Linked DNA regions of Mus musculus: regions 2, 3 and 4 are each reported to be linked to region 1. The links are microRNA targets in miRTarBase. Many come from high-throughput screens and were not tested one by one. Region 1 holds a microRNA gene; each other region holds the end of a gene's coding sequence.

Evidence for each region. Region 1 holds the annotated microRNA mmu-miR-675-3p (CUGUAUGCCCUAACCGCUCAGU, at 3,327-3,348, shown strand). A microRNA usually pairs through its seed, bases 2 to 8, with sites in the 3' UTR of a target mRNA and lowers its output. Matches are read on the target gene's strand: a 7mer-m8 pairs with bases 2 to 8, a 7mer-A1 pairs with bases 2 to 7 and ends in A, and an 8mer does both.
Region 2: miRTarBase lists Ell2 as a target of mmu-miR-675-3p. Seed matches in the 3' UTR shown: 7mer-m8 at 5,665-5,671.
Region 3: the mRNA of Myo1e is a reported target of mmu-miR-675-3p. Seed matches in the 3' UTR shown: 7mer-m8 at 5,305-5,311.
Region 4: miRTarBase lists Zc3h12a as a target of mmu-miR-675-3p. Seed matches in the 3' UTR shown: 7mer-A1 at 1,727-1,733.

Annotation. Positions count from the first base shown.
Region 1 is chr7:142,573,308-142,580,425 of GRCm38, reverse strand. It overlaps Mir675 (microRNA 675), which reads left to right and starts at 3,279; the gene lies at 3,279-3,362. H19 (H19, imprinted maternally expressed transcript) reads left to right here and starts at 2,280. Exons shown (of 5, transcript NR_130974.1): 1 at 2,280-3,597; 2 at 3,683-3,813; 3 at 3,896-4,017; 4 at 4,096-4,223; 5 at 4,312-4,896. RefSeq lists enhancers at 7,106-7,118, 6,514-7,118.
Region 2 is chr13:75,769,976-75,777,093 of GRCm38, reverse strand. It overlaps Ell2 (elongation factor for RNA polymerase II 2), which reads right to left. Exons shown (of 12, transcript NM_138953.2): 11 at 6,504-6,548; 12 at 4,733-6,414. The coding sequence ends at 6,298. Among named protein-coding and RNA genes, the nearest start is that of Ell2, 66 kb to the right of the region's middle.
Region 3 is chr9:70,398,138-70,405,255 of GRCm38, reverse strand. Myo1e (myosin IE) reads right to left here. Exons shown (of 28, transcript NM_181072.3): 28 at 5,189-6,534. The coding sequence ends at 6,458. Among named protein-coding and RNA genes, the nearest start is that of Mir5626, 4.1 kb to the left of the region's middle.
Region 4 is chr4:125,113,082-125,120,199 of GRCm38, reverse strand. It overlaps Zc3h12a (zinc finger CCCH type containing 12A), which reads left to right. Exons shown (of 6, transcript NM_153159.2): 6 at 56-1,786. The coding sequence ends at 921. Meaf6 (MYST/Esa1-associated factor 6) reads right to left here. Exons shown (of 8, transcript NM_001374123.1): 8 at 6,962-7,118. Among named protein-coding and RNA genes, the nearest start is that of Zc3h12a, 11 kb to the left of the region's middle.

The sequences.
Region 1 (7,118 bases):
CACACATTTCTTGGGTAGCTCCTTCAGTCTTGCGCCCTTCACGATCGATCGGTTCACTCTCCACGCTGTGCAGATTTGGCTATAGCTAAATGGACAGACGATGCCGCGTGGTGGCAGTACAATACTACATATTGCTCGGCAGACGCGGCATAGGTTGGGGTCCGCTGTGACAAAGCTTTGAGTACCCCAGGTTCAACAAAGGGATCAGGCATTTGTGCACTTACGGAATGGTCCCCTTCTGCCTTGGGACTCCTCAAGCTAGCCAGATCTGTTCAATCCAAACTCAATACAGAATCGGTTATAGGCGGGAGACATAGAAACTGCCGCGTGCGTGCGTCCACCGAAACCCCATAGCCATAAAAGCAGAGGCTGGGGTTCAACCATTGCAATGTCCCAGGTAACCTAGGAACTGTAGCAAGAAGTTGCAAAGCTGAGATTAGAGACTAGGAGAAGTCAGGGATCCGCTTAGTTTGAAGTGAAGCAGGAGGGTGGGTAGCAAGAGGGAGCATAGCGGGTGTGGCATGGTGGGGTTGTATAGCGTGGGTTATAGCGAGGGGGTATAATGGGGAGGTATAGTGGAAGTATAGTGGGAGGTATAGTAGGGGTATAGCGGGGGATATAGAGGGAGTTATAGTGGGGGTATAGCGGGGGCATAGCGGGGGCATAATGGGGGACATAGTGGGGGGCATGGCAGGAGGGGCATAGTGGGGGTATAATGGGGGTGTAGTGGGGCGGTATAGTGTGGGTATAGTGGGGGACATAGCGGGGGTATAGTGGGGGTATAGCAGGGAGGGTATAGTGGGGGTATAGCAGAGAGTATGGGGGCCATAGGGGAAGTATGGTGGGGGGTATGGCAAGGGGTATGGTGGGGAGGATGACAGGGGGGATATAGCAGGGGTGTAGTGGGGAGGATATAGTGGGAAGTATAGGGGAGTATAGCAAGGGTGATGTGGGGGGTGATGGGAGACAGAGACCAACTGCCACCACACCAGTGAATAGCTTACATGTGATGGCCAACCCTCGGCCTTTAGTCTGCTGATGCTGCCAGGGTTCTTGAGGCTCATTAGAAGATGGGGTCATTCTTTTCCATCTTATATACCGATCTCTGAAAAGGATCATTTGTTTAAGAGCGCAGAGATAGCCACAACCACCACAAGGTGACAGCACAGACACACATTACAGCGCCAAGATAATAGAGGCTGGGGTCTATTTATGACCAAATTGGAGGTGTCCGTCAGTATCATAACTTAGGGTCCACCCACAGCAATGACCAGGGCTTTTCACAGAGTAAAAATGAAGGATCACTAGGAGCCAGAAATGAGTACTCAGCTGACATGCAGCCACTAGGCTGAGGATCTGCCAAGGTGCTATTGCACCTCACATAGGTGAGAACCACTGCTGAGTGGTCATGACTGGTCAGCCCTTGAGTCCTCCTCCCATCTGGAGCTCCGGTCACTTCCATCTAGAGCTGCTCTACTCTCTGGTGCCCTGATTTGTGGATGCTGACTCTGTGGATTTCAGCTGCATAACTTTCAACAGAAGCTAAGAGCAATGGTATACGCACGCACGTGGCTGGAGGGACAGGGCATCTCTCCTGTCCCCATTCTATCACTGATAGTAGTACTTCAGTAGGATAGGGAGACCATACTGTGCCTCCGGTTGACTGGGGTGACCAAGACCAGACTGTAAGATAACTAATAAAACTCATCGCAAGAGAGTCCTGACAAACGTGACGACTCACCCAGAAAAGGGACGGTGAGGAGTGCCCAAATTAGCTACTACCTTGTTGAAACCACTGCGGCCAGATAAGGTCAGTCAAGCAGACTAGGACAAAGGCTGGGGGTTAGCCACTCGTAGGCTGTTCATACTCCGTGGGATAGTATGAGACCCATGCCCTCAAATTCCCATTGTGGTCATTATACAAACTGAGTAAAGGGCAGCTTCAGTGTGGCAGGGTGCCTGGGGCACCACCGTTCTATGAAGGGCTTCAGCAGGCTACGGGGCTATATGTTCTCGACATCAAGGGAGATATCTGGGGACAATGCCAGGCCCTGTCTAAGGGATTCCAAAGTGGGAGTTGTGGTGAGGCTGTCTTTGGAGAATTTCAGGACGGGTGCGGGTGTGGGGTGAGGCGAACGTGCGCTGGAACGATACAGGGTGGAGGTGGGCCCTGCGGGGGCCCCGGCGGGGCCATGTACTGATTGGTTGACAGAGTAGGGGCGGGAATTCTGGGCGGAGCCACTCCAGTTAGAAAAAGCCCGGGCTAGAGGGCCCGAAGCACCGGGTGTGGGAGGGGGGTGGGGGGTGGGGGTGGGGGGTATCGGGGAAACTGGGGAAGATGGGAGAGCTGGAGGAGAGTCGTGGGGTCCGAGGAGCACCTCGGCATCTGGAGTCTGGCAGGAATGTTGAAGGACTGAGGGGCTAGCTCAGGCAGAGCAAAGGCATCGCAAAGGCTGGAAAACATCGGAGTGAAGCTGAAGGGCCTGAGCTAGGGTTGGAGAGGAATGGGGAGCCAGACATTCATCCCGGTTACTTTTGGTTACAGGACGTGGCGGCTGGTCGGATAAAGGGGAGCTGCTGGGAAGGGTTCGACCCCAGACCTGGGCAGTGAAGGTATAGCTGGCAGCAGTGGGCAGGTGAGGACCGCCGTCTGCTGGGCAGGTGAGTCTCCTTCTTCTCTCTTGGCCTCGCTCCACTGACCTTCTAAACGAAGGTTTAGAGAGGGGGCCTGGTGAGAAGAAGCGGCTGGCCTCGCAGCAGAATGGCACATAGAAAGGCAGGATAGTTAGCAAAGGAGACATCGTCTCGGGGGGAGCCGAGACAGAAGGAGGCTGGGGGACCATTGGCGACCCCAGGTGGAAAGAGCTCTTAGAGAGAAGAAAGAAGAGGTGCAGGGTTGCCAGTAAAGACTGAGGCCGCTGCCTCCAGGGAGGTGATAGGAGTCCTTGGAGACAGTGGCAGAGACCATGGGATCCAGCAAGAACAGAAGCATTCTAGGCTGGGGTCAAACAGGGCAAGATGGGGTCACAAGACACAGATGGGTCCCCAGCCGCCACAACATCCCACCCACCGTAATTCACTTAGAAGAAGGTTCAAGAGTGGCTCTGGCAAAGTCCCAAGTTTGCCAGAGCCTCAATAACTGGAGAATGGAAAAGAAGGGCAGTGCAGGGTGTCACCAGAAGGGGAGTGGGGGCTGCAGGTATCGGACTCCAGAGGGATTTTACAGCAAGGAGGCTGCAGTGGGTCCAGCCTGCAGACACACCATTCCCATGAGGCACTGCGGCCCAGGGACTGGTGCGGAAAGGGCCCACAGTGGACTTGGTACACTGTATGCCCTAACCGCTCAGTCCCTGGGTCTGGCATGACAGACAGAACATTTCCAGGGGAGTCAAGGGCACAGGATGAAGCCAGACGAGGCGAGGCAGGCGGGGCAGAATGAATGAGTTTCTAGGGAGGGAGGTTGGGTGCAGGTAGAGCGAGTAGCTGGGGTGGTGAGCCAGGGAGGCACTGGCCTCCAGAGTCCGTGGCCAAGGAGGGCCTTGCGGGCGGCGACGGAGCAGTGATCGGTGTCTCGAAGAGCTCGGACTGGAGACTAGGGTAAGTGTCTGTCCCGCTCGTGGTCACCCAGTCTCCTCCCACGCAAGTTCAATTAACTCATGTCTTCATTTCTCCCTATAGCCAGGTCTCCAGCAGAGGTGGATGTGCCTGCCAGTCACTGAAGGCGAGGATGACAGGTGTGGTCAATGTGACAGAAAGACATGACATGGTCCGGTGTGATGGAGAGGACAGAAGGGCAGTCATCCAGCCTTCTTGGTGAGCATACTCCCTGCCACAGGGCTAGTCCGCTCAACCACCTAATTGTCCACCCACTCACTCAGGATTCTGTCCTTTGCAGAACACCATGGGCTGGCGCCTTGTCGTAGAAGCCGTCTGTTCTTTCACTTTTCCCAAAGAGCTAACACTTCTCTGCTGCTCTCTGGATCCTCCTCCCCCTACCTTGAACCCTCAAGATGAAAGGTGAGTTCTCTTCTGCCCCATGTGGGTGGGAGAGGGTGGGATGCCAAGGACAGGGGTCTCATTCTCTCCCACCCATAGAAATGGTGCTACCCAGCTCATGTCTGGGCCTTTGAATCCGGGGACTTCTTTAAGTCCGTCTCGTTCTGAATCAAGAAGATGCTGCAATCAGAACCACTACACTACCTGCCTCAGGAATCTGCTCCAAGGTGAGCTGGGGCACCCTTTGGAAGCTTGCCAAGCCCACTCCCCACCCCACCCCCCGCCCCACCTCATTTGTCTTTATTCTCTTTGCAGGTGAAGCTGAAAGAACAGATGGTGTCAACATTTTGAAAGAGCAGACTCATAGCACCCACCCACCCCTGAGAATCCATCTTCATGGCCAACTCTGCCTGACCCGGGAGACCACCACCCACATCATCCTGGAGCCAAGCCTCTACCCCGGGATGACTTCATCATCTCCCTCCTGTCTTTTTCTTCTTCCTCCTTTCCTGTAATTCTGTTTCTTTCCTTTTGTTCCTTCCTTGCTTGAGAGACTCAAAGCACCCGTGACTCTGTTTCCCCATTTACCCCCTTTTGAATTTGCACTAAGTCGATTGCACTGGTTTGGAGTCCCGGAGATAGCTTTGAGTCTCTCCGTATGAATGTATACAGCGAGTGTGTAAACCTCTTTGGCAATGCTGCCCCAGTACCCACCTGTCGTCCATCTCCGTCTGAGGGCAACTGGGTGTGGCCGTGTGCTTGAGGCCTCGCCTTCCCCTCGCCTAGTCTGGAAGCAGTTCCATCATAAAGTGTTCAACATGCCCTACTTCATCCTTTGCCCCTCCTCACCAGGGCCTCACCAGAGGTCCTGGGTCCATCAATAAATACAGTTACAGTCATTGGTCTCGTGGACTTCAATATAATGCGACTCATGGGGGGAGGTTGGGGGGGCAGGGGAAAGAAATGAGGGAAGGGGAATAAAAGGGATAGGGTACACCATCCATGATGAAGGGGATAATGAAATGGGGAGGGCCTCTAGGATGGAATGGGGAATAGGAGATGGCTTATGAAAAGGTGGGTGGCACTGGGATAGGAGGCTCATGGGATGGCACACAGCGAAAGGCCTCATGGGATGCCAAGAAGCTATGGTATGGAAGGGGCCTATGAATATGAAATGGTGCCTGAAGAACGGGCAAAGCAGTCGACATCACAATTAAAAAATGCCAGAGTGCCATACGGAGACAGAGGCAGGGCTGTGAGCAGGGTCCCTCAAGACAGAGAGGCTGGGGAGGTGAAGGACATCCTTAGCAATGAGAGATGGTGGGCCCAGCCAGAAACCTGGATTCTACACTGCTCCCAAGGTCCTGCCTGGATGACTCTGAGTCCTCACACTAATCCCAACTCCCGAGGCATAATGTAGACTGCACAGTAAATCTGACTCCTTGCAGTAAGGCTCGTAATGGGTAGGCAGCTACACATGAGGCTGCGTAGACCACAGCCACATAAAGAGGCCCATGGTGGCCTCTGGGCTTCCCTCTCCTGCTCCAAGCATGCTAAGCTCTGGACTGGAGCCCACGTCGATGCCTGCAGTGGTACCCTCCCCTTGCTGTCTGCTGTGGATAGGAGCTGAAGGGCCACAGCAGAGAGATAGGGACATGCACAAGTCTGAATATAACTCAGAACACAGGGCACGGTGAATATCCAGGGAGGACAGGGAGGTCAGCATGAATGACAGGTACATGAAGGACTGTCACTGAGGTCTTGCTTCCTAGGGTGGAAGCGTAGTACCCCATAGGTTTGCTATTAGTGTCCTCATAGAGACAGCAACTGGTTGAGCTGACCCCCACGTCTCTGAGCATCCTACCAGCCTCCTAGCTCCTAGACTCTTAGCTGTACAGATACTGGGAAGGGACTTGAAGAGCAGATTAAAAAAAAAAAAAAGAGGCTGGGGTCCTTGGCTCTCATCCCCAGCCCCAAGCCCCAGTGCTTATAGCAGTCAAGAAAATCTCCTCCAGCTGACAAAGACCAGACAGGACTGACTGTCAGGAACACCCACCCTCTCCACCCCATACCCTCTCTGGGCAGTGGGCCAGCTTCTCCCCACCCCCACCACATGCCTGGTCTCTCTTCTGGACCCTCCACAACCCTTTCTCTCGCCATCATTTTGCCCTCTAATTTTCTGGGAGGGAGACCTCTGTGGTCTTCCTGGACAGGGTGGTTAGGCACCCACTGGGCATGTGGGTGTTTCTCTGATCACCTCCATAGAGGTTTTCAAAAGCTTCCAGTCAGAACATGCCCATCTTCCTGACCCTACTAGAGGTTACTTGCCCCAGTGACAAAGCAGCTTGTCGTGGGGTGGGGGTGGGGTGTCTACAAACAGCCTTTATTCCAAACATCTGACCACCCAACCCTGCAAAAGCCAGGCTCAGAAGACAAAAGCTGCTGCCTTACAAGACACGTTGGCAGGGACAGCTAGTAGGCACTGGAGGTAGTCACAGGGGATGGATGTTGGAGATTGGGGTAAGGGTACCCAAAAAGGCCCTCTATCTAAGAGACACAGAAATAGAGTCACAGAGTGGAAAGGGGGTTCAGGGGTGACATGAGCTACCTCCTTTGGGCCCTGCTTTCCTGGTCCTAGCATGCTAAATGTGAGTTTTACACAGGCTTTGAGGTGTAGGGGGCTGGAGTCACACATTCTTACCCTGGGGTTCTACCCAGAAGACGCTAAGACAAATCTGGGGAGATGAGGGTGCCAGTGTGGAAAGGGAGAAATTGCTCCTTCCCGTCCTCTCCCACCGGCTCATGGTGGATGCCTCCTCAAGCCACTCCTGTGAATGTCACAGATAGTGAGGGTGTCACAGGACAAGGCCTACCTTGAGTTTATCCACACCTCCTTTATTTAAGGCAGAAAGTTCTGAGCTCTCCCAGAAAAACTGGATGGATGTGTGGGGCAGGACCTCAAGGTGCAGGCTGGTGGGGGCTAGATGCCCCCAAATCACCAAAGCTCTGCAAACAGGTGTGCCTGTGGGTCTTGGGCCTCAAGAGCCTCGCCCACGGGTAGGGGCTGGGAAAACAGAGGTGGCCCAGCCCCCCACCCTCCAGCCAGCACAGCCCCTCCATCA
Region 2 (7,118 bases), not on the chromosome of region 1:
ATCTAAGAGTAAGAACCCAGATACAATTTCTCTAGTTTATATGATCAATTTAAAAAAGAGGCCCTAGTGTCTAGCTTCCTGCCTGAAAAAGTCAGATAGCCTATGAGGTAGGAGAAAATGGAGACTACCAAGGCTGGCCAAAGGAGAGGCCTGGCCAGCAGCCAGAGGCCACAGAAAGGTCTGAGATGTCCACGAGCTTGACAGTGTCTGAAAGAAATCAAGGCCAATTTCAAAGGTGCCATCCAAGACCTCTCCTGTCTCATAGCCCCCACCTGCTCCCTTCCTTTCAACCTGCTGCAAGCTGAATGGTAAGAGGAGAGGGAAAGGCAAGAAGTGCTTAGCTATTAGCCTAAAGCAAGCTGGGGTTGGAAGGGAAAAGGCCTTAACTTTAAACACACTGTAGAGTTCTGGCTACAAGACTAATGAGACAAGAGACTATGAATAGCTGCTCTAGAGAAAGTACAGGACCTGCCACAACTTCACTGATGAAGGCACCTTTCAGGGGGACATGTAAGAACAAACAATGTTGCTGTTGTCAGTCTAGTTCAGCATTTGTTAATCTATTCCAAATCTTGATATCCTAAATTGCCACAAAGTCCAGACTTGCGGCAAATTGCCCTGGATTACCTGTTGGCAATTCCAGCATTTAGATGCACACCAGGATGTAGGCCTGTAAAGCATTTCAACTGCTTCCCAAGCTTTAGTGTGTTGCTTTGTGGTTTCTGTTTCTGAACTGGTAGCCTTACTAACTGCAAGACATTATCTTTAGACAAAGATAAATAGTGTTAAGATATGCATATGAACAGAAGAGAGGAGCAGAATTGTTCATTCAAGTAAGTCAAGCAAGAGAAGGGAGGAGCAGGTGGGGTGGTGATAATTGGCTCCTATAGCAATAGAGACTTGTCAACAGTAGAGAGAGGAAAGGATGAGGGGCATGCCAGCAGTCCCTAGTGTCCCCTTACAGCTGTTCTCAGCTGCAGTCTATAGCCCAGGTGGCCATAGGACCCCTGGAGACCCTCTCTATTCTCTTTAGGCAAGTCTGATTTAAATGAACTTTGTCCTTGAGAGGAGCAGCATCTAGTTATAAGGAGTCTTTTCCCAGAAGCCTTTCCCTAAAGCATCTTATGTGTAACACCCCTCTCAATGACTCTCTAGTGAGGGGCTGTAAGAAGCCTTAGGGCTACAAAGAGGCTTTTAAACTTTGTCCTTTTTTGTGAAAGTTGGGAATTCTTTTTGACCATTAGCACAATGAGAATCAGATGTGCCAAGTCACTAAGAAAAAGTAACTTTTAAAAAAGGTTTATGTGTATGTGTGAGTACCTGTATAGAAGGCTGTGTGCCACATAAGTGCTCATAGAGGCCAGACAAGGTCATTGGATCCCCTGGACCTGGAGTTTCAGGTAGTTGTGAGCCTCCTGACCTGTGGTCCTCTGCAAGAACAGTAAGTATTATTACTTGCTAAGCCATCTCTCCAGGCCTGAAAATCTGATTTAAAAAATTATACTTAAAGTATATGAAAGCACTTTAGTTATAGTCATTTATTATATAAGTTGGATTGCATAAAGTATGGTTTCAAATAAATTAAAAAAAAAAACCCTCCACAATTCTGTCTTTTATAAAGATAACGATAATAGAGAATATTCAGTTTAGCTCAAGTTTGGAATAAATGCACATCATTTATTCCATATATGTGTATGTTACTGGTAGCCAAGGTGCTAATTTAATGTGGTACTTGAAAATCAGGACCAGCATCTTTAAAATGTTAGGTATTGTGTGTCTACCATAGGAGCTCAGTTGCCTTCATGCCAAACTCTGAATAAACACAATGGACTTATTCATTGATACTGCTATAAAGCTTTGCACATACAAATCAAAGATGGAAAGGAGTAAGTGTCAAATCCTCAGATGCCTTTACATGTACCAGGGTCAGATCCATCTCTACTTACATACTTCCATAGCAACTCCTGAGGTCATCACTATTCCACTCACAGTTGGGAAACTGAGGACTTTCTTCACTTGATCATACTCTGTAGTGATTCTCTGCACTACTGTGGCCAGTGCTGTGCTTGTCTGGTACCTTATCAAGCTCCATCTTCACCTCGGAATCAGGTGTCTCCTGCCCTACCCGGGGTTTGTGTAAGTTTCTTGGGCCTCATCTTGTTGTGCCATATGCTGTCAGGAAGCTTTGCCAATTACAAAATGAAGGCAGTTTGTGGTGACCCTTACACTAGAAACACTAGAGCTCTTCGATTATCCTCAGAGTGTCCACCACTTGGGAGGCTGAGCAAGTGCTAAACACAATAAATGTCAATAAAAGCACGTGTTGAATTTAAAGAAACATCTCTAGAATGCTGTGATTATGCTGGAAATTTGGCGTACCAATTTTATCTTCCACCATGTCCTTGAGAATCGAGAGAAAGTGGTTTAGAAAAATAATACTGGACTTAGCTAAAATAGCTCAGCGGGTAAAGGTACAAACTGCCAAACCTGATGACTAAAGTTTGATGTCTGGGATCCACATGATGAACAGAGAGAAATAACTCTTAAAAGTTGTCCTTTGACTCACACACACACACACACACACACACACACATAAATATATAAAAAGATATTCAGGATATGAAGTCAGTACCTATATGCAAGTTGCGACCAATGGTAAAAATAATCCCCCAAAATTTTCATTTCAGATTCCGAAGGAATCTGGAGGTATGAATGCTAATATTGGAAAGAGATGCCACCTTTGAAAACATCCAGTTAACCACAGCAAAAGGAATTTCTACAGGCAGCCACTGTGACCAATGGCTACACCCTGGCTTTGAGAAGACAGTAACAGGACACAGCCACCTGATGGCCCAGTAGACTCCTGCACTAATCCAAATCCTTTCAAGGTTAAATATGACCTTTGTGAAGAGTCTGCTTCGCTCATTCTTCTAACCAAGCTCTAGTGCCAGGGACTAAGCCAGAGGCTTCAGACCAGGGACTGAACAACAGTCTCCATCGGCTGAACCAGCATCCCATTACAATTGCGACAAGGGCCATGAAGGCGGAACACAGAATCAAGAGAGCAAGCTTCAGGTAGGAAGGTTAAACAAAGACTTTAAGGATGAGGAATCAGCAGAGGGAGAAAGTGGGGCTTACGTGCTGCAGTGCTGCTTTAGCGTGGGCGCCTTGACATGGCAGGAACCATTGGTACTGGACAGCAGGAAGTGAGAGTAGTTAGGCAGAGCAGGGTGAGCACAAAACACCACAATCAGCTGTAAAACCCAATGGGAAACCATCAAGTCTGATGGGCAGGCAAGAAGCCCTAGGCTGTCTAAGGCAAACATGCCTGCTAGTCACGTGGGCTCGCCTTCTGGAAGCTTCCTCCTGAGTTTCATAGACTTGAAAAGGGTACTTACTGTCTACTTGTAAGTTCCCATGCTGTACTAATATCCAATCACAGAAGGAAAAACCAGCCTGGTGGGTCAGTTGAACCAGGCAGGCAGAAGTTGAAAATGACATGTCTCTGATTCCCAATTTGAGAATTACGCAATCGTAAAGTATCAGAGCCACCTGTAGCCACTGCTCTCCTGCTAGTGCAATCTCTGAGGAGCAAAACCAGAAGAGCAGGTATGCATACGCCTGGCACTCAATAAACCCCAATACTCCGCCTCGAAATCTGAAGCCTATCTCTGCCTTACCCCTCTGCAGTCAGTCAAAATGGACTTACTCTCATGTGAAAAGCAGTGATTCCACACATTATCTGCGTTGCACAGATATTTAATTACCTAATTTAGGTGGCTAGTTTTCATTGAATTCTCAAAAGCTTTATGTAATGAAACTTCAACCCCTACCCAATGAAGAGGTATAGCTTTAAGAAGGGTTGCTGACACAATGACGACTTTGGGACCCTCCATTTATCTTTGAGGATCACCAGAGTCACGGCTGGCATCAACTGTTGCAGGTTTTCAATGCCAGGGCTCAATGGATGCCTTTACTTTTTTTCTGCCTTGTTTCCTCAGAAAATGATTAGAAACTCAAGTACAGATTCAGCTGGGGTGGTCTCATGCCTAATTCAAATTGAGCATCTGCTAAAGCTGGAGTATATACATTCAAGGTTTCAAGATTAGGGACTTAAAATTTAGAGCTATATCTAAGCCAATTATACATTAGCTTGCAACTGTCACTGCAATGACCTTGTGAAAATGTGGGTGCCTGGTCTCTCCCAAGAGACTGTAGTGTGGGTAATGCAAGCAAGCCATTCAACACCCTTACTTTTGAGAAACATTGCCCATAGCAAAGAACAGCAACAATCTCAGTGAAAGGCCAACACTTCAGAGTGTACTCCTGAAGTCATTATGTCAAGAGATCTACGATGATAATGTGAGGCCCCAATTTAGCCATAACTAAGCTTCTTTTCTTCTTTTTAAACTCAAAAGATTGAGATAAACTTCTACTTAATAATGACTGTAGCACTATCAAGGTAAAAGAGCACCAGGGATCTCAAAACTGAAATGGAAGTCTCCAGAAGGCCATGCAGAGATGGAATGTGTGCAGTGATACCAGAGTTGTAGCGTCAGAGGAATCTTGGCTTCAGTGCTTGGCTGCCTCTGTGCTTTGGATCCATTACCCAGTCTTTCCAGTTGACATTTCAGGAAAACTCCACAAGAAAGTTAATCAACATATACTGCCACAAGGCCTCAGTACTAACATTTTCTACTTTACAGTGATACACGTCAAAATTATTCACTTATTTTTGGATGCTGAAGACAAACATCTTTATTAAAGATACTACCAAAATTTTGGCAAACATTTCAAAACAGATTTGTAAACATAATGCTTCCCTTTTCAACTGGCAGCACTTTGAGACAATACAAGACAACCTGAATCAACTTTAGTTCAAAATCTTTATATTTTGACCACATAACTTATGTTCCCACATGATAAGACAAGTGATAGTTTAAATCAACGTTAACAGATAAACTCCATGAAATGAAAGTTTGTGCTATTTGATGAGTCACAGTATGTTATGGTTAAATATATCTACTCTTTTTATATTCCTGGGATCCAGGATGAAAAAAAATTTAAATATACATCTGATGTAGGTAATAGCTTCTTTGCATATCTTTCTTCAAAAAATACTTTATAGCAGTATATAAATAGGTTACCTACACATTTATTTTTGTCATTTTGCCCCAAAACTATAAGATCTGTTTCATTTTCATAACATATCATTTTTTGCCCAACATTAATAAAGCTGACAAACTGTTGAAATGGAAATGCTTTTGTCTTCCACAATAGAAGTAGCAATTTGACAGAAACAAACAAAAACCAAGCAAACACACACCAACAAGCTACTGCAACACTCGTCAGCTCTTTAACCTGAGTGTCCGGCCTACTGAGAGTAGCAGCTTTTTAACCTTCACACAGCTCACATCCACAGCAGCTCTGCAGACAGACAAGCAGAACACACAGGTTCTGATGCTGGTAGGCCACAGTGTGCTTCCCGGGCTGGGGCTGTTATCACTGGGAAGCAGTGTAGCTACTGGTTAACCACATGATGTACACAACTAGCAAACACCTTAAGGCAGCCATTGCAATGGGGGTTTAACTTTTAGGGCAGATTTAACACTCTAGAGCCAGACAGCCCGTATGTATGTATGTATGTATGTATGTATGTATGTATGTATGCATGTATGTATGTATGTATGTATGTATGTATGTATGTATGTATGTATGTGTATAGAAAACTATACACATTCACTTTCTATTTTTCAACCCTCCAAAAACAATGTTTTGATTTTTTGTACTTTGTGCAAATGTCTAAATATTCTACCATTTAAGGCAAAGAGTTTACATTAAGAAAGGTCAGAAAATAGGCTTTTGTTTATCCAAAAGCTTTTCACCTTGCACATTACTGTTTTGTCTTGTTTTAAACACACGCAATTCTTTGCATCTGTATGGACTTTGCATCCCCGATATCTAAAAAAAAAAAAAATCATCGCTAATGACAAAGACAAGTTATCAAGGAAAATTGATTTGAAGTATAGACACTGGATCCCCAATCTCTTAAAAATTGCTTCTATTAACAAACAAGTTGGGGGTTGGGGGTGGGTGGTTGGGGAGAGGACCAGAAAAAAAGCAGCTTCAAAATTCAGGGCAGCAAAGTAAAATAGAGAGGAAAAAAAGTAACTCAAGTTTACTAATACTGAAACTTCCAACAAGCAAAGTTTCATCTTTTAGAATCTAGAGCAACTCATCTGGAATTTTAAATAAATAAGCTTTAGTTTATTCACATCTTCTGGTCCAAGCAGAGCTTTAGTGCCATGACTCTGCTTGCTGTTGGTCAAATTCACCTATTAGTCTTTTGATGTGAGCCAGCTTGTTATGAAGATATTCACATCTGTATTTTTCTTCATGGTAATTGGGACTGGACTGTAGACAAAGAAAATAGTGAGGCATTAGGTCACAGAATTTACCCTGCTTCTCACTGTAGGCCAGAAAGGCAAAGGCGTGGTACTCACCTGCTTGATCTTCTGATATTCCTGTAAGACTTCTTCATGAACATTCTGTAAAGTTATAAATTACAATTAAGAAGAGTATGGTACTACATCTAACAAGAAGAGTTAGTACTATATCTAACAAGCACCTGGAAGGTGTAGGAAATACTGATGAGATATAACTTGAGACATTTGTCCCAATTTGGCAATTTGGCAGCAGCTATCAAAACAGCAAATGCAAACTTGACTCAGCAATTCTACATATTCTGTAGGTCTATCATCTCAGACGGACAGACAGCTAGCAGCTCTGTCCAGCAAGACAATCTACATTACAAGAATGCCTCGTAGGCCCTACAAAAGGAGAGTAAAAAGAAAGTTAAGTGCCCTGTAGGCCCTACAAAAAGGACAGTAAAAAGAGAGTTAAGTGCTTTTTAAGTTGATGAAAAATTTTCCACAAAGCATTGTACTGGTGAAAAAAAGTACAAAATAATATGGACAGATTGATAATACCCTTAAAAGCGAGACATAATATTACATTTTAATAATTCAATAACTTTTACTATTAAGTCCTTCTAAATGTAATAAACTAGGAACCTAGCAAACAGAATAATGGTTGAAATTACTAGAATGTAACACAAT
Region 3 (7,118 bases), not on the chromosome of region 1:
GTGACTGTGGAAGGAGGTGGAGCCTGTTTGCAATATTCTAGGTGATTCAATATCCTCTGACCTTAATGAATTCTTGATCTTATCCTGCCTATCTGTGCAAGATCCACCATTCAAAAAACCTGGAGTAGACGTTCCCTTGGCCCTTTTCTCTAACTTGTGATCTGTGAGCACTCAGGATAAGCACTTACATTGCTCAGTACAATCTAAATAAGACAGAATGCCCTTTATCCTTAGCCTGCTCATCTCAAGGCAACTGGAAAGTGGAAACAAAAGCCATGGGGCAGAAACAAAAGCAGTCAGCAAAGGGGAAAGAATAGAGATGGGGGGGGGGGTGAGGGTGATGGGGAGGAAGAGTGGGCTTTAAGACCCAGCAGAGCCTTCATCTCCAGCCTCTCTCTCAGTCAAGTGAGTCCTTTGTAACTGGCACCTGGAAAATCGATCCTGTGGTGGACAGTCCTCTCTCATTTTCTCATGGGTTGACTGTGGCAGTCCTGGGGATGGAAGCCAGGCAGGCCTTCATGAGTGCTTAGGCAACAGCCCTTTGGCTAGCGCGGACCCCCATAAGCCAAGAGAACTGCAAGCTCCATGTCTCCTGCAAGACCAAGGGCTGGAGAAGCATGTGTGGAGGGGAGCAGTTTCAGGGTCTAAGGTCATCTGCCCATGGGACAGCTAAAGGAGACCTTGTTCCCACCACCCAGCCCTTCCCTTGCCTTCACATAACTGTGTTAACGATTTGAGACACAGTAGTCAGACCTCCCTTGAGAGCCCCAAGGGAGAGCAAGGACAAACTTCCAGTAGCCATGTAGGTTCCAGACAAAGAGCTAAAGCCCTTCAGGGGTGCCATTGTGGAGACAGGACTTACCCTCCTAGCCACCTCCATTTGAATTTCAGGCACTTCCTATCGAACTCACAGCAAGCTTGGAATCAGTCTTTCCTGCATCTGAAAACTTAAGATTTACTGAATGGCTCAGGAAACAAAGTTGAGTAAGGCTTTGAGCCTTCATTTCCTTCAGACAACCCCAGTTGCTTACTCTTGGCCATTCATGGCTCCAGAGCCAGGTATCAGGTTAGGAAACCATCAAGGTGAGGCGTGGCCCCAGGTGTGGACTCTGCTCTCTTCCCCCTTCCTCCCGAGAAAGATGGTCAGGTCCTTGAGGTCGGGTTTGCATTTTCTCTTGGCTTAGGGGTGGCAGCCTAAGTGGCCGCCCTGGTTCTCAGGGGGAAAAAAATCTTCCAGCTGAAAAGCCTCAAAGCACCCCAACCTACTCCCAGGGGAGGTAGGGGCTAACCGGGGTGTCCTCTTAGTCCGAAGGGATCTTCGGAGTGCCGGTTGGGTCACAGCTACTTTCCGGGCCTTCCTCAGGATTTTCCGTCAGGCGCGTGTGACCTTGAGTATAGATAGATCCTCTCTAATTCTGGACGAGAGATTCGCAAAAAATGTTAACAGGGTTGCGGGTGCCTTTCGAGGGTTTGCTGAACCCATTTCCGGGCACGGACAGAAGAAAGGAATGCTGGGAAGGCAAGACTAAGCTCCAGAGAAAGAGGGGTGCAAAAGCTTTACCCTGTGGGGCAGCTCAGCAACTTCCCTCCTTGGTCCCGTTTAGAGATCCTGCCCAACACCAACCACCAATGTCTGCCTGTGGTCTCTTCTCACAAGGCCACACACATGCAGGCAACTTCAAATGAGTGGATAACTGTGAGCAGCCTCACCTGTTCCCGTGTCGCTGCGATAGAAACAGCTGGCTCACTAGGGGTAAGGCAGGGACTCTCTTGATGGATGAGCCTAGAATGAGCAGCCAAGTTGGGGTGACCACCGATTGCAAACATGCAAGTGGCTTTTGACAGACATCCTGTTGTGGTAAAACTGGGGTGACTTTATGTGGTGTGCTGTTTTAGCTCCAAGTGAGTAACACACTTCCATCATGTCTTACCTCCTCTTTATTGCTGAGGATGGAACGCCAGGCCTGGCATGTCTAGCACGAGTGCACTACCACTGAACTACACCCCACTCCCTTTAAGATGCATCTCTTCTCCCACAGAGACATGATCTGTTCCAACTACTGATGTGAAACAAAGAAAAATTATAAACCTAGTCTCTCTCTCTCTTTTTTTTTAAATGAATGAGCTCTTGCCTCCAAGTATGTATGTGTACCATGTATGTGCCTGGTGGCCTTGAAGGTTGGGAGAGGGCATTGGATCCCCTGGAATTGGAGTTACACACAGTCAGGAGTTGCCATGAAGGTGCAGAGAAATAAATGTCCTCTGGAAGAATAGTCAGTGCTCTTAACTGTTGAACTTCATAGTGTCTCTTATACTGGCGACTTCCTAACAACTTGATGTGAGAAGACATTACCTGTTTTGAGGAAAAGACTTAGGCCCATCAAATGTTCTAATTTTTTTCAGAATTCACCTGTGCTCCAAGCCTCACGGTGACGTTTAACTCTGTGTGGTACTTTGAATGAAAATGGCCTCCACAGGCTCCCAGAGAGTAGTATTATTTGGAAGGATTAGGACATGAGGAGGCCCTGTTAAAGTAGGTATGGCCATATCAAAGGAAGTATGTCACCAGGGGATTGGGGAGTGGCCTTGGAGGTTTCAGAAGCTCAAGCCAGGCCTAGCAGCTCACTCTCTCTTCCTGCTGGTCCAGAGATGCAGATATGGAACTCTTGCCTTCTTGTCCAGCACCATGTCTGCTTGCATGCCACCATGCCTCCCGCCATGATGACGATGGACGAAACCTCTGAACCTGTAAACCGGACCCAGTTAAATGCTGTGGTCATGGTGTCTTCTTCACAGCAGTAGAAACTCTAAGACACTCAACACTGCCTTAACTGAGAGCATATGGTGAAAGCTGCCTTCTGCCTGACAGCAGATCCCACAGTCTGGTCTCCTGTGATCTGCTGTGTTGAAAATGGCAGGAACAAGAGGAAGACCTGCTTCCAGTGATGGCTGGCTTCTCCCCGTTCTTGAGGAAGTCAGGGCTGCCTGATGAGGATTTCTATAAGTCTCAAACATTGTGTGTGTGTGTGTGTGTGTGTGTGTGTGTGGCATTAAAAATCTTTACGGTTTGAAATCCTATTACAGAGTTTTATAAATAGCCCTTGTTAAGTTAGCGGAAGCTCGTTCCCATGGCAGCCTTGGACCAGCTTCCTTCAGAATGAACAGTAAGGAAGTGCAACCAAGGAACAGAGTTTTCCTAGCACCACAAGTCTGCAACTTCTCAAAGATGCTGGAGTTCAGCTTCTCTCCAACAGATGACAGATTGTGTGTGCACATGCATTCAAATTCATGTAGGATCCCGAGGACAACCCTGGCTGTCAGGAGAGGGTGGCTTGTGTATGCACACGTGTACACACATGCATGTGCATGTGGAAACTGGAGGACAACCTTTGATGTCATGAAAAGGTAGATTTTTGAGAGCATATTCCAAAGATGGTTTATAATGTCCTTATGTATTTGTCAGGGTTCTCGAGAGGAACAGAACTGGTTGTGTGTGTGCGTGCGTGCGTGTATGTGTGTAATTTACTGGAGTGGCTTACAGGCTGTGATGCAGCTAGCCCAACAATGGCTGTCAACCAACATAAAATCCAAGAATCCAGTAGTTCAGTCCACAAGGCTGGTCTTCAGTGCATGCCAGAATCTTGAAGTAGGTTCTAATGTCGGTAAAGGAACGGACTTGCCAGTGAAGAGTGAGAGCAAGCAGGCAGGGAGAGATAGCTTCCTTCTTCCATGTCCTTTATATAGACTGCCAGCAGAATGTGTGGCCCAGATTAAAGATAGATCTTCCTACTTCAAATTATTTAATTACAAAAACAAAAAACGAAAAACCTCACAGGTATACCAAGCCACTTGGGTTTTAGCTAATTCCAGATGTAGTCAAATTAACCACCTTTGCTACATTTTTTTCTTAAACATTAAATGCCCTGACTTGGGACTGGAGAGATGGCTCAGCGGTTAAGAGCACTGACTGCTCTTCCAGAGGTCCTGAGTTCAATCCCCAGCAACCACATGGTGGCTCACAACCATCTGTAATGGGATCTGGTGCCCTCTTCTGGTGTGTCTGCAGACAGCTACAGTGTACCCACATACATAAATAAAAAAAAAAAAAAAAAATAAATAAATAATTCTTCTAAATGACCAGACTCAGGAGCTTTTAGGGTGCCGTGAGGACTTTTAAGACTCTTCCGCTGAATAATGTGAAAGCTGAAGTGTTCCACATGAGTCAGTAAAACATGTAAGTGGTAAAAATCAAAATCATGCTATAATAAAACCCTGTACATCCCGAAACTAGAGGATTAGACATCCTGGCCACAGCAGGAAGGACCTTGGCTTGACTCTGGTTGGTGACGGACCGTTCGATGCGATGATGTTACCCATGCGGATGAGTTTTCCCTCACAGGGTTGGAAAAGATCAAGGCACCACTCAGCATAGTCTCTGGGACTAAGGAGGTAGCTTACGAGTTCGTTCTGAAGCACTGTCTAGGTTCCTTTGGGTGGTTTGTTTGCTTGCAGACAGGATCTCACCTGTCCCACGCTGGCTGTGCCGCTGAGGATGAATTTGAGCTCCTGATCCTCTGACTCATACTTCCCAAGTGCTGGGATTACAGACACTCATCACCGTGCTGAGTTTATGTAGCTGCATGTCCCCTTTTAAACCATTTACAGTCGTCATCATCATCAGTGGTGTGTGTTCTGTCTGCATGTATATCGGTATATCATATGTAAGCCTGGTGCCTGTGGAGGCTGGAAGAGGGTATCAGATCCCTTGGATCTGGAGTCACAGATGGCTGCGAGCCACCATGTGGGTTTTGAGAATTGAAGCAGGACGTGCTTTTAGCTGCTGAGCTATCTCTCCAGCCCCCTCTTTAATTATTTGATTCTCCTGTTATACTTCAAGAATAGAGAGCAAGGACAGAAACTTCATCTTCTTTTTTAAAGGTTTATTTATCATTATATCTAAGTACACTGTAGCTGTCTTCAGATGCACCAGAAAAGGATGGTTGTGAGCCACCATGTAGTTGCTAGGATTTGAACTCAGGACCTTCGGAAGAGCAGTCAGTGCTCTTAGCCACTGAGCCATCTCTCCAGCCCCCTTTTAGAAATATGCCTGCCTTTGCCTCCCAAGTGCTGAGATTAAAGGCGTGTGCCACTTTTTTTTTTTGGTTGGTTGTTTCTTTTTTTTTTTTTTTCGAGACAGGGTTTCTCTGTGTAGCCCTGGCTGTCCTGGAACTCACTTTGTAGACCAGGCTGGCCTCGAACTCAGAAATCCACCTGCCTCTGCCTCCCGAGTGCTGGGATTAAAGGTGTATGCCACCACGCCTGGCCAGAAATTTCTTAAAGCATAACTTTTCCTGCTCACAAGGTGCTCATCCCAGATGTTTGTGACGGTCATGGAAAGTGGGGAAACAATGGTGGGTATGACCATACCACTGGTTTTGTTTTTAGGAGAAAATTATAACCCACAATAAATGTCATGAAGAAACAAGGCATTGCACTGACTCCGTTACATTTATTTAGGAAGTAAGGGAGGACGGCAGAGGGGTCACAGGAGAATTTCCTACAGGGAGAGGGTAAGGGGGTCTGAGGGACTGTGCGGGAATGCAGTGACTGTTTCTCTAGGCAAAGAGGAGAGGGCGCGTCTGTAAGTACCTGGTGCGAGTCCTGTAATAAAACCTACCTTCATGAATGGGTACAGTGGAATACTACCTGCTGCATTCATATGTGCTTCTAGATTTTTCTATATACAGTATATGATCACTTTTTATAAATGTACAGCTTGGGGGGGCTCTTTCTTATTATAAGCACAGCATTAAACATAAAACCAACATGGGCCAGCCACATTACAAGCGAAGACCAAGAGAAAGCAAGACCATCAGCCCAGCACCCAACTTCTTCCCACCAGCAGTCTTAGTGGTCCCGGCTCCCATGGGCTCGGAAGGATGGCCTGCCCGCCCTTGGCAGTGACAGGTGAGTGCCTGTTCGCCCCAAGTCCAGCCTCCAGAGGGTGGGTCCTCCCCAAGGGGGGGTTAGCACAGAGGAATGTATCAGGTACTGAGAGAGGAATGAGTGAGATGTGCTCTTCAACTAAAGGCACTTGTCATCGAGTCACCGCCTGCTGTCCCCTGGACCTGGTGAGTGGGCAGGAGGCTGTGGGATAGACACCAAGCAGTCCCCGCTACTTACACCAGATTTAAATACAATAAATAAATCTTAGTGGGTGGTGTTTTTTGCGCTCCTGGGAACTAGACTACCTTTTAGGATCATTTGTGGAGTGACCCATAACTTGTCCTTGTCCCTAACCCAAGCTTTTCTGTGTCTTCCATGGGGGAAGGTGTCAGAATAGCTTCAGGCCTTGGTGTAGCAGTTGCTCACTGTCGATCAGAAGAGGAGTCCCCAAAAGTCCCCTCCCCGGTCCACGCCTGGAGCTCCTCTGCCCACGTGTCAGTTTCCGAGCGCCTCAGATCTTGGTGACGTAGTTGTTAGGAAACAGGCCCTGCTTGCCTCGTAGTCTACCCGTCCACCAGCCAGAAGGGTCTGTGGAAGTGAAAGCACAGGTGAGAATGGCCGCATGCTTGTTCTAATGGGCTAAGGTCACTTGGTTCCATTCATAGTTTCTTCCTTCTGTTTTATCTTGTTGGGAAAAGGTTTCTTGTACAGAATGGCCTGCCCCAAGGCTATAAAGAACACCTGCTTAACATGCATAAGCCTTGGGTTCCATCCCTAGCACTGCACAAGCCACTATGGTGGTACGTGGTTGTAATCCGAGCACTCAGGAAGTGCAAGGAGGAAGATCAAAGGTTAAGGCCATTCTTAGCTACATAGCAGGTTTGAGGCTAGCCTGGGCTACATGAGACCCTATCTAAAAAAGAAAAAAAGAAGCCAGGTGGTCGTGGTGCACGCCTTTAATACCAGAACTCGGGAGGCAGAGGCAGGTAGATCTTTGAGTTTGAGGCCAGCCTGGTTTACAGAGTTAAGTTCCAGGACAGCCAGGGCTACACAGAAGAAAAAAAAGAAGAGAAGAGGAGAGGAGAGGAGAGGAGAGGAGAGGGAGAGGAGAGGGAGAGGAGAGGGAGAGGAGAGGGAGAGGAGAGGGAGAGGAGAGGGAGAGGAGAGGAGAG
Region 4 (7,118 bases), not on the chromosome of region 1:
GTCTGTGCCTCGTCCTCGCTCTGACCCCATTTAGACACCCTCTCTGTTCTTGCAGGGAAGAAATGTACGTATGGAATCAAGTGCCGATTTTTCCACCCTGAGCGGCCAAGCCGTCCCCAGCGCTCTGTGGCCGATGAGCTCCGTGCCAACGCTCTCCTCTCACCTCCCAGGACTCCAGTCAAGGACAAAAGTAGCCAGAGGCCTTCCCCTGCCTCTCAGTCCAGCTCTGTGTCCCTAGAGGCTGAACCAGGCAGCCTGGATGGGAAAAAGCTGGGTGCCAGGTCATCTCCGGGTCCCCACCGAGAAGGCTCACCGCAGACCTGTGCTCCAGCTGGCAGGAGCCTCCCTGTTAGTGGGGGCAGCTTTGGGCCCACAGAGTGGCTTGCACACACCCAGGACTCACTCCCATACACCTCCCAGGAGTGCCTTGATTCAGGCATTGGTTCCCTGGAGAGCCAGATGTCAGAATTATGGGGCGTGCGAGGAGGCAGCCCTGGGGAGTCGGGCCCCACTCGGGGCCCCTATGCAGGTTATCACAGCTATGGATCCAAGGTCCCAGCAGCACCTTCCTTTTCTCCTTTTAGACCAGCCATGGGTGCTGGCCACTTCAGTGTCCCCACCGACTATGTGCCCCCGCCACCCACCTACCCATCCAGAGAGTACTGGTCTGAGCCGTACCCATTACCCCCACCCACTCCTGTCCTTCAGGAGCCCCAGAGACCCAGCCCCGGGGCTGGTGGGGGCCCCTGGGGCAGGGTGGGTGACCTGGCCAAAGAAAGGGCTGGTGTATATACCAAGCTGTGTGGTGTCTTCCCCCCACACCTGGTAGAAGCTGTAATGAGACGCTTCCCACAGCTGCTGGATCCGCAGCAGCTGGCCGCAGAGATCCTGTCTTACAAGTCCCAGCACCTCAGTGAGTAAGCCAGAAGGTGGCGCAAGGGGCTGTCGGGCATCACAGATAGCGGTCCCCAGCCCCTGCCTGGCCTACCCTGGAAGCTGGACAGAAGGACAAGTGAAGCAGGCAAGGGAATCCTCAAACCAAAGATACCATAGGATTGGTTCTGGCCCCGCGGCACCCCAACCCGTCCCGCACAGGTCAGAAGTGATCACCCTGTTGATACACATTGTATCTCTGTCATTTAAGGAGACGCTGCCGGTCAGGCCGTCCATCCGTGGCTGATGCCCAAACCCTCTTTTTTTTTTCTCAGAGGGCCGGGTGGGAGGCATGGGGGAGCAGAGGCCTGAGCTGGACCCCACCTTCCACCCTGTCCCTGGGACGCCGGCACCACCGGCTAGTTAGGCACCATGTGCCTGCTCTCTGAGGCCCCCTCAAGCCAATGCGGCCTCATCCCTGTTCACAGGGCATGAGGCTTCATGTTAGTAAGCAAGATGCTTCTTTAAGCCCCTCCCCTGCCCGCTCTGTCCACCTACACACCCCCCCCCCAACCAGGGCTCCAAGGCCCTCTGTTTCCACACCTCCCATGGGTGGGAGGACACATGTATGCTGTGTACAGAGGCGAGATTTAAATATTTTAAATGAAAAAGGTTGACAAAATAAAGGCTATTGCCAGGCAGGCTGGAGAGATGGCTCAGTGGTTAAGAGCACCGACTGCTCTTCTGAAGGTCCTGAGTTCAAATGTCAGCAACCACATGGTGGCTCACAAACATCTGTGATGAGATCTGGTGCCCTCTTCTGGGGTGTCTGAAGACAGCTACAGTGTACTTACATACAATAATAAATCTTTTAAAAAAGAGAGAAATTTAAAAGAAAAAAAAAGCTATTGCCAGTCGTTTTGAGAGGAAGTTGTCCTTACTGTGCCTGGTGGGTAGAGCTGCTCTGGGGTGACAGGAGGCCAGTAGGGCAGATGTCACTCCCTGTCCTCAGAAAGGAGGGTTCCCAGAAGCAGTTGGTCCCTTGGAGCTGAACCTTAATAGGAGGCAAGGTAGCAGGTGACAGCTGCAGGAAGAAGTGTAACGGCACAGAGCCCTGTGGCTTCAGCTGGGTAGAGGGGTGCCGGGGCGGGCGACAGCAGGGATGAAGCTGTTCCTCTTTTCTCTGATGACAAGAATTGAGGGTAGGAAACAGGGAAACGATTTGATCAGGGCCACAGAGGGCGGTGTGATCCAAGTAGGTGAGGGAGCCCTTGGGTGCTTGCACACAGGCTCCTCCTTCCAGATCTGCTGTGTGTCCAAGGAACCAGGGTTGCAGAGCTGGAGGAAGGGCTGGGGTAGTAGCAGCAGCTTGGAGACGCCCTGCCACTGACTCTACCAGCTGGAGCAAGGGACTATCCTTCCCAGACCTCAGTTTCCTCATCTATGAAATGGGAATCCTAATGGCAGCTACCTTACAGGTTTGTCATGAGGGTTCAGTGAGATAATACATGCTAGGTATGTGACCTGCCTCCTGCCGCACAGGCACTGCTCATTAGAAGGCTTCCATAACTGACTCCTGTGGGCAGGCACACAGACTGACCCCATCCACCACGTCAAACTGCTCATCAGCCCTAGACAAGCCCAGGCAAGATAACACCTTCCTCCCTCCTCCCAGCTCCAACTTCAAAGATGAACATGAATATTTTAAATGAAAGGCTAGGCTATCACACAATTCCTAAGCAAATATTACCAGCCAAGGAAAAGGGTGGGGGGAGGCGGAATTACAGCTTTAATAATCCTACCTTTGAACAATTCCTCTGATATTTGTACTTAGTAGTCGGTGTACCTTAGTGCATATTTCTGTTTTAAAAACTACTTCCGTACAGAACAGCTGTGAAGCTCTGGAAGAAAATGTCACTGTGGGAATCCTCCCCACGAGCTCCGCCCAACTTTTCCCTGACCACCCTTCCAGAAGTGCCTGCTTAGGACAAACATCAGGATCCGTTGGCATGCAGGAGCTGGAAGCTTCCCTCCCACAGGAATTAAAGGTGTCTATGCCATGCGTGTTCCTCCCGGCCTCCTCGGGAGCTGTTAGCAGCATAAGGAGAGACGGCAATGCCTTATTTATTCTTACAAAGGAACTACATTGTCCAGGGCTCTGGGAAGGCAGCCAACCATGCACTGAGTTCAATACTCAGCACCTGGTGTTGGAGCGTACACCTGCCATCCCAGCATCCCGGAAGAAGATGCAGGAGGGCCACAAGTTCAAGGCCGTCTTTGGTTACAAAGCAAGTTCCAGGCCAACTTGGCCTGCATGAGACTCTGGTCTCAAACACACGAAATAAAACACACGGACACACAAGGGCGCCAATGTATTCTCAGGTTAAACGGCCGTCTGTGGGCATCTGTTTGTCTTTATGGGATAGGAAGCTAAAATACCGGACAGTCGGGTTCATTATCAGTTGCTTGGCAATGCTGAATGACTTGCCCAAGGTCCCACGGAGGAAGGCAGGCTGGGGCAGGGCTTTCAGTACCCTTCCTGATCCCAAAACCTGACACCAGACTGTTGTGACTCAAGCCTCTGCAGAAATGGGAAGTGAGCTGCTCCTCCCACTGAAGCAAGTAGAATGCTCGCCCACTCGGCTGCTCAGTACGGCCCTGTCTGTACCATACTGTGGAGCTTTGGGGGCCATGAGATTCAGGGGCCGCTCACAAGGGGAAGTGAGAAGAACTCTTCCACTGTCCTGGCTTTCTTAGCCGGAGTTTGAAGTCATCTGTGACTGTCCTATGGGGGTGAGAAATGGGCTGACTCCACAGGCAGGCAGCAGCATGAGTGCCAGCTGGCTATGGCTAATGTTAGAAGGCAGGGCCTGGCCCTGCTGGTCCACTGAAACCAGTGAGGGCTACAGATTCAAACAATAGGTGCCAGCTAGGACCGGGCTCTGGGCTCAGGCCTTCTGATGCCTGTCTTGGTGCCCATGCTTCCTGACAGCTTGGCTCAGCTGGACTAGCCAACCACGTGGCCATGCCTCCAGGCCTCTTTCTCAATCTTGCTTCCAGGCAGGGCTACCCAAGCAGCCTGGCTCAAAGCCAAGGCTGTTTCTTCTCTGTGACTTGCTTCAGCATTAACTCCAAAGTTCTCACCACCTCTTGTCCCCTGGCCACTGAGGCCACTCAGACAGGTAGCACTGGATCACACGGGACCTTGGCCTTCCACCTGTGAAATGGGCACAAAGACACACCACCTCTCCAGACATTACAAAAGAAGACCTTAACTAGCAGCATCTAGAGGCAGTGAGGCCCCAGTTCACGCCCCACTCACTAGCAGGCAGCCCTGGCTACTCACTGCCCTTCTCTCAGGGCTTCAGCTGCCTGACCCACAGTGATCCACGTGGGAGCTTAACGGGGAGGGCGGCAGGGACAAAATGTAACTCCCAAGACCAAAGCTCGAGCCACCAGGCTTGCTGCAAGGGATCAAATTCCAAGCAGCCGCCCCAGCTGCTCCTTATGCCAGCTCTTCCTGGTTACTTGAGCCAAGCTGGGTGATGGGGAAACTGGTGTGTATGCAAATTCTCTGTTGGGAAATGATCTCTGGGAGCTGAGCTGGGCCTTCCCACCCTCCCCTCCCACTTGTACCAGCAGGTAGTGAACTCTAGGTGCTTCAGCAAGTTCTGCTCCACAAGACTAACACCTTGAGAGGGGGTGGGGGGGAACCCAGCCTGCTCAGAAGTCAAAACGACTGGTCTGCCTTTGCATGTAGCCTGAGACAGGAAAGCTTTGTATGCCCTGCCAGACTGAGCCAGCCCGTAACGGTGTGTGTGTGAAGGACCCCTGCTCTGGGTCACTCTCCACTCTGTCTCTGGGAAGACCTGGCAGTCCCTGAAGATGCTGGTACCACAAAGGACAAAATAGCCACCGTGCAAAGCCCACTTGGAGCTGCTAATGCCCTAAACTGCTGGTGTCTTTCAGTGATTAGAGTAGCCAGCTGCGGGGGCAAGGCCAGTGCCCATTTCTGCAGCTCCATTTCCTACTTCCCTTTTTTCCTACCACCAAGGTCCTCTGCCCACCTTCCCCAGGGACAGTACACACAGGTTAACCCATCTCAAGGAGGAGTGGGGTAAGGTGAGCGGACAGAACTGGGAAGAGGGTCACTGGCTAAGCTCTGCCAGAAGGAAGCCCAAGGACCCCAGAGCCTTTGTCCTAGGCTTCGATCTTCTATCACAGGCCCAAAGCAGACTGGATGGCAAGAACCTGTCCTGTGGACCTCCTAGTTCATGGGAAGGGTGTGGGAGACTTGGCTGAAAGAGGCAGGAAGTGGGGCCCTGTAATTAGGGAAGCCCGTGCCATCCTAGGCCATGGCATGTAAATCCCTCCAGTCAGTTCCTGGAGGGGGAGGAGGCCCAGTCTGTAACCGAGGGTGTGCCTTCTGAAGCTGTTTTCAAGGCAGCAGCAGCTGGTGACCCTAAACTGCTTACCCGTTTAAGGAACAGCATGAAGACTCCGTGGGAGGAATGACTTAGCCATCCCAGGCATGTGGCACCCTGCTGCCGCCTTCTGGCAGCTCCTGATACTACTACTACTGCCTGGAGCCAGTGGCTTGCTAGCTTGGAGTTGCTAATACCCCCCAAACCACTGACATCTTTCAGGGGGCAAGGGTAGGAATGACTCCATGAGGTCTGAAATAACGGGCTGTAGAAGTATAACTCTGTCTGGGACAATATGCAAAGCAGAACCCGAAACAGACGGGGAACTCCTTCTGGCATTTGTTTTGGACAGGGTCTCGCTCAACATGCAGTGCCGGGCTGTCTGCCTACCTCAGTTCCCAAAGTACTTAGCTCACAGGTGTGTTCTTTTTGTCTAAGCAGTGAATTTTCAAAGGCATTCGCAGGAAGTTCTGACTGTCTGGGCAATAAATTACCCAAGAAAAATTATTGGGCAAGAAGTACGGCTGAACGGTGGAACATGTGTTCAACACGTGTCCATCCCCTCAGCAGCACGTGTTGCACACACATGCACTCAAGCATGTACACACACAAACACACACATGACACACATACAGACACACAATACACACATACACACATACAGGCTGGAAGAACAATCAAGGAGAAAAAATAATAATTGCATATACTTAAATAAAATCACCATGAGTGGGCTGGAGAGATGGCTCAGCGGTTAAGAGCACTGACTGCTCTTCCAAAGGTCATGAGTTCAAATCCCAGCAATCACAAGGTGGCTCACAACCATCCATAATGAGATCTGATGCCCTCTTCTGGGGTGTCTGAAGACAGCTACAACGTACTTACATATCATCAATCAATCAATCTTTTTTTAAAATATCACCATGAGCTGCCATTCCAAATGAATCGAGTCCTGTCGATGTGGCAGGCTGTGGGGAAAGAGGTAGTGTCATCAGTAGTGTCCTACAGTCGACCCTGGAGGGGACCTGGTACTTCAGTCACCTAGGAAACAGAGCTCTTGACTCGGCAGGCCTACTAATCTATCCCAAGAAAGCCTTCATCTGCAAGATGACGGAAGGCATTTCCTACGACAGCAACAGTCAGTAAGAGCACAGGCTAAGTAAACTAGCACACTGCAGGGAATATTAGTCAGTAAGGAGGAGGCAGCTATCTCTGGAATTTGGCTTGCTTTTGTTGTTTTGGATAGCTTGAGATAGGAACGTTCCTCCTGCCTCAGCCTCCCACTTGCTGGCTGGGATCACTGGTAGACACGGGTGGTCAGTATCAGGGAGTCGGTTCTCAGCTTTTGAACTGTGGGTTCTAAGGATCAAACTCAACCCGCAGGGCTATCTGGCCAGCCCAAGAACTGGCTTTGAGATATTTCCTAATCTAAGAAGCCACTTCAGAAAGGGAAGGCAGAGCAGCTCCCTATCATTTCTGGAAACGGCGTTTCTGGGGGGGGGGGGGTGGGGGGTGGAGCTGGGAGACCTCTGACCAGGAGCCTGCAGTGTGTTCTTGTATGTGAATCATAATAAAAACCCGGAGTACACATATTTCCAACACATGCTAGCAAACCATGACAGCAGTCACTTTTCATAGAGGAACACAATTTCAGTATCAGCAGTTTCTTGTGGTTCAACCTAATATTTATTTATAAATTATCCACATGTATTAATGAACTAATAGTTATGTGTATTACACAACATATCCAAAGTGAGGAACTACATAGGGTTGAGGCCCAAAGTGGAAACACATCCAAGATCTGCTCTTTTCCTTCCACATCCC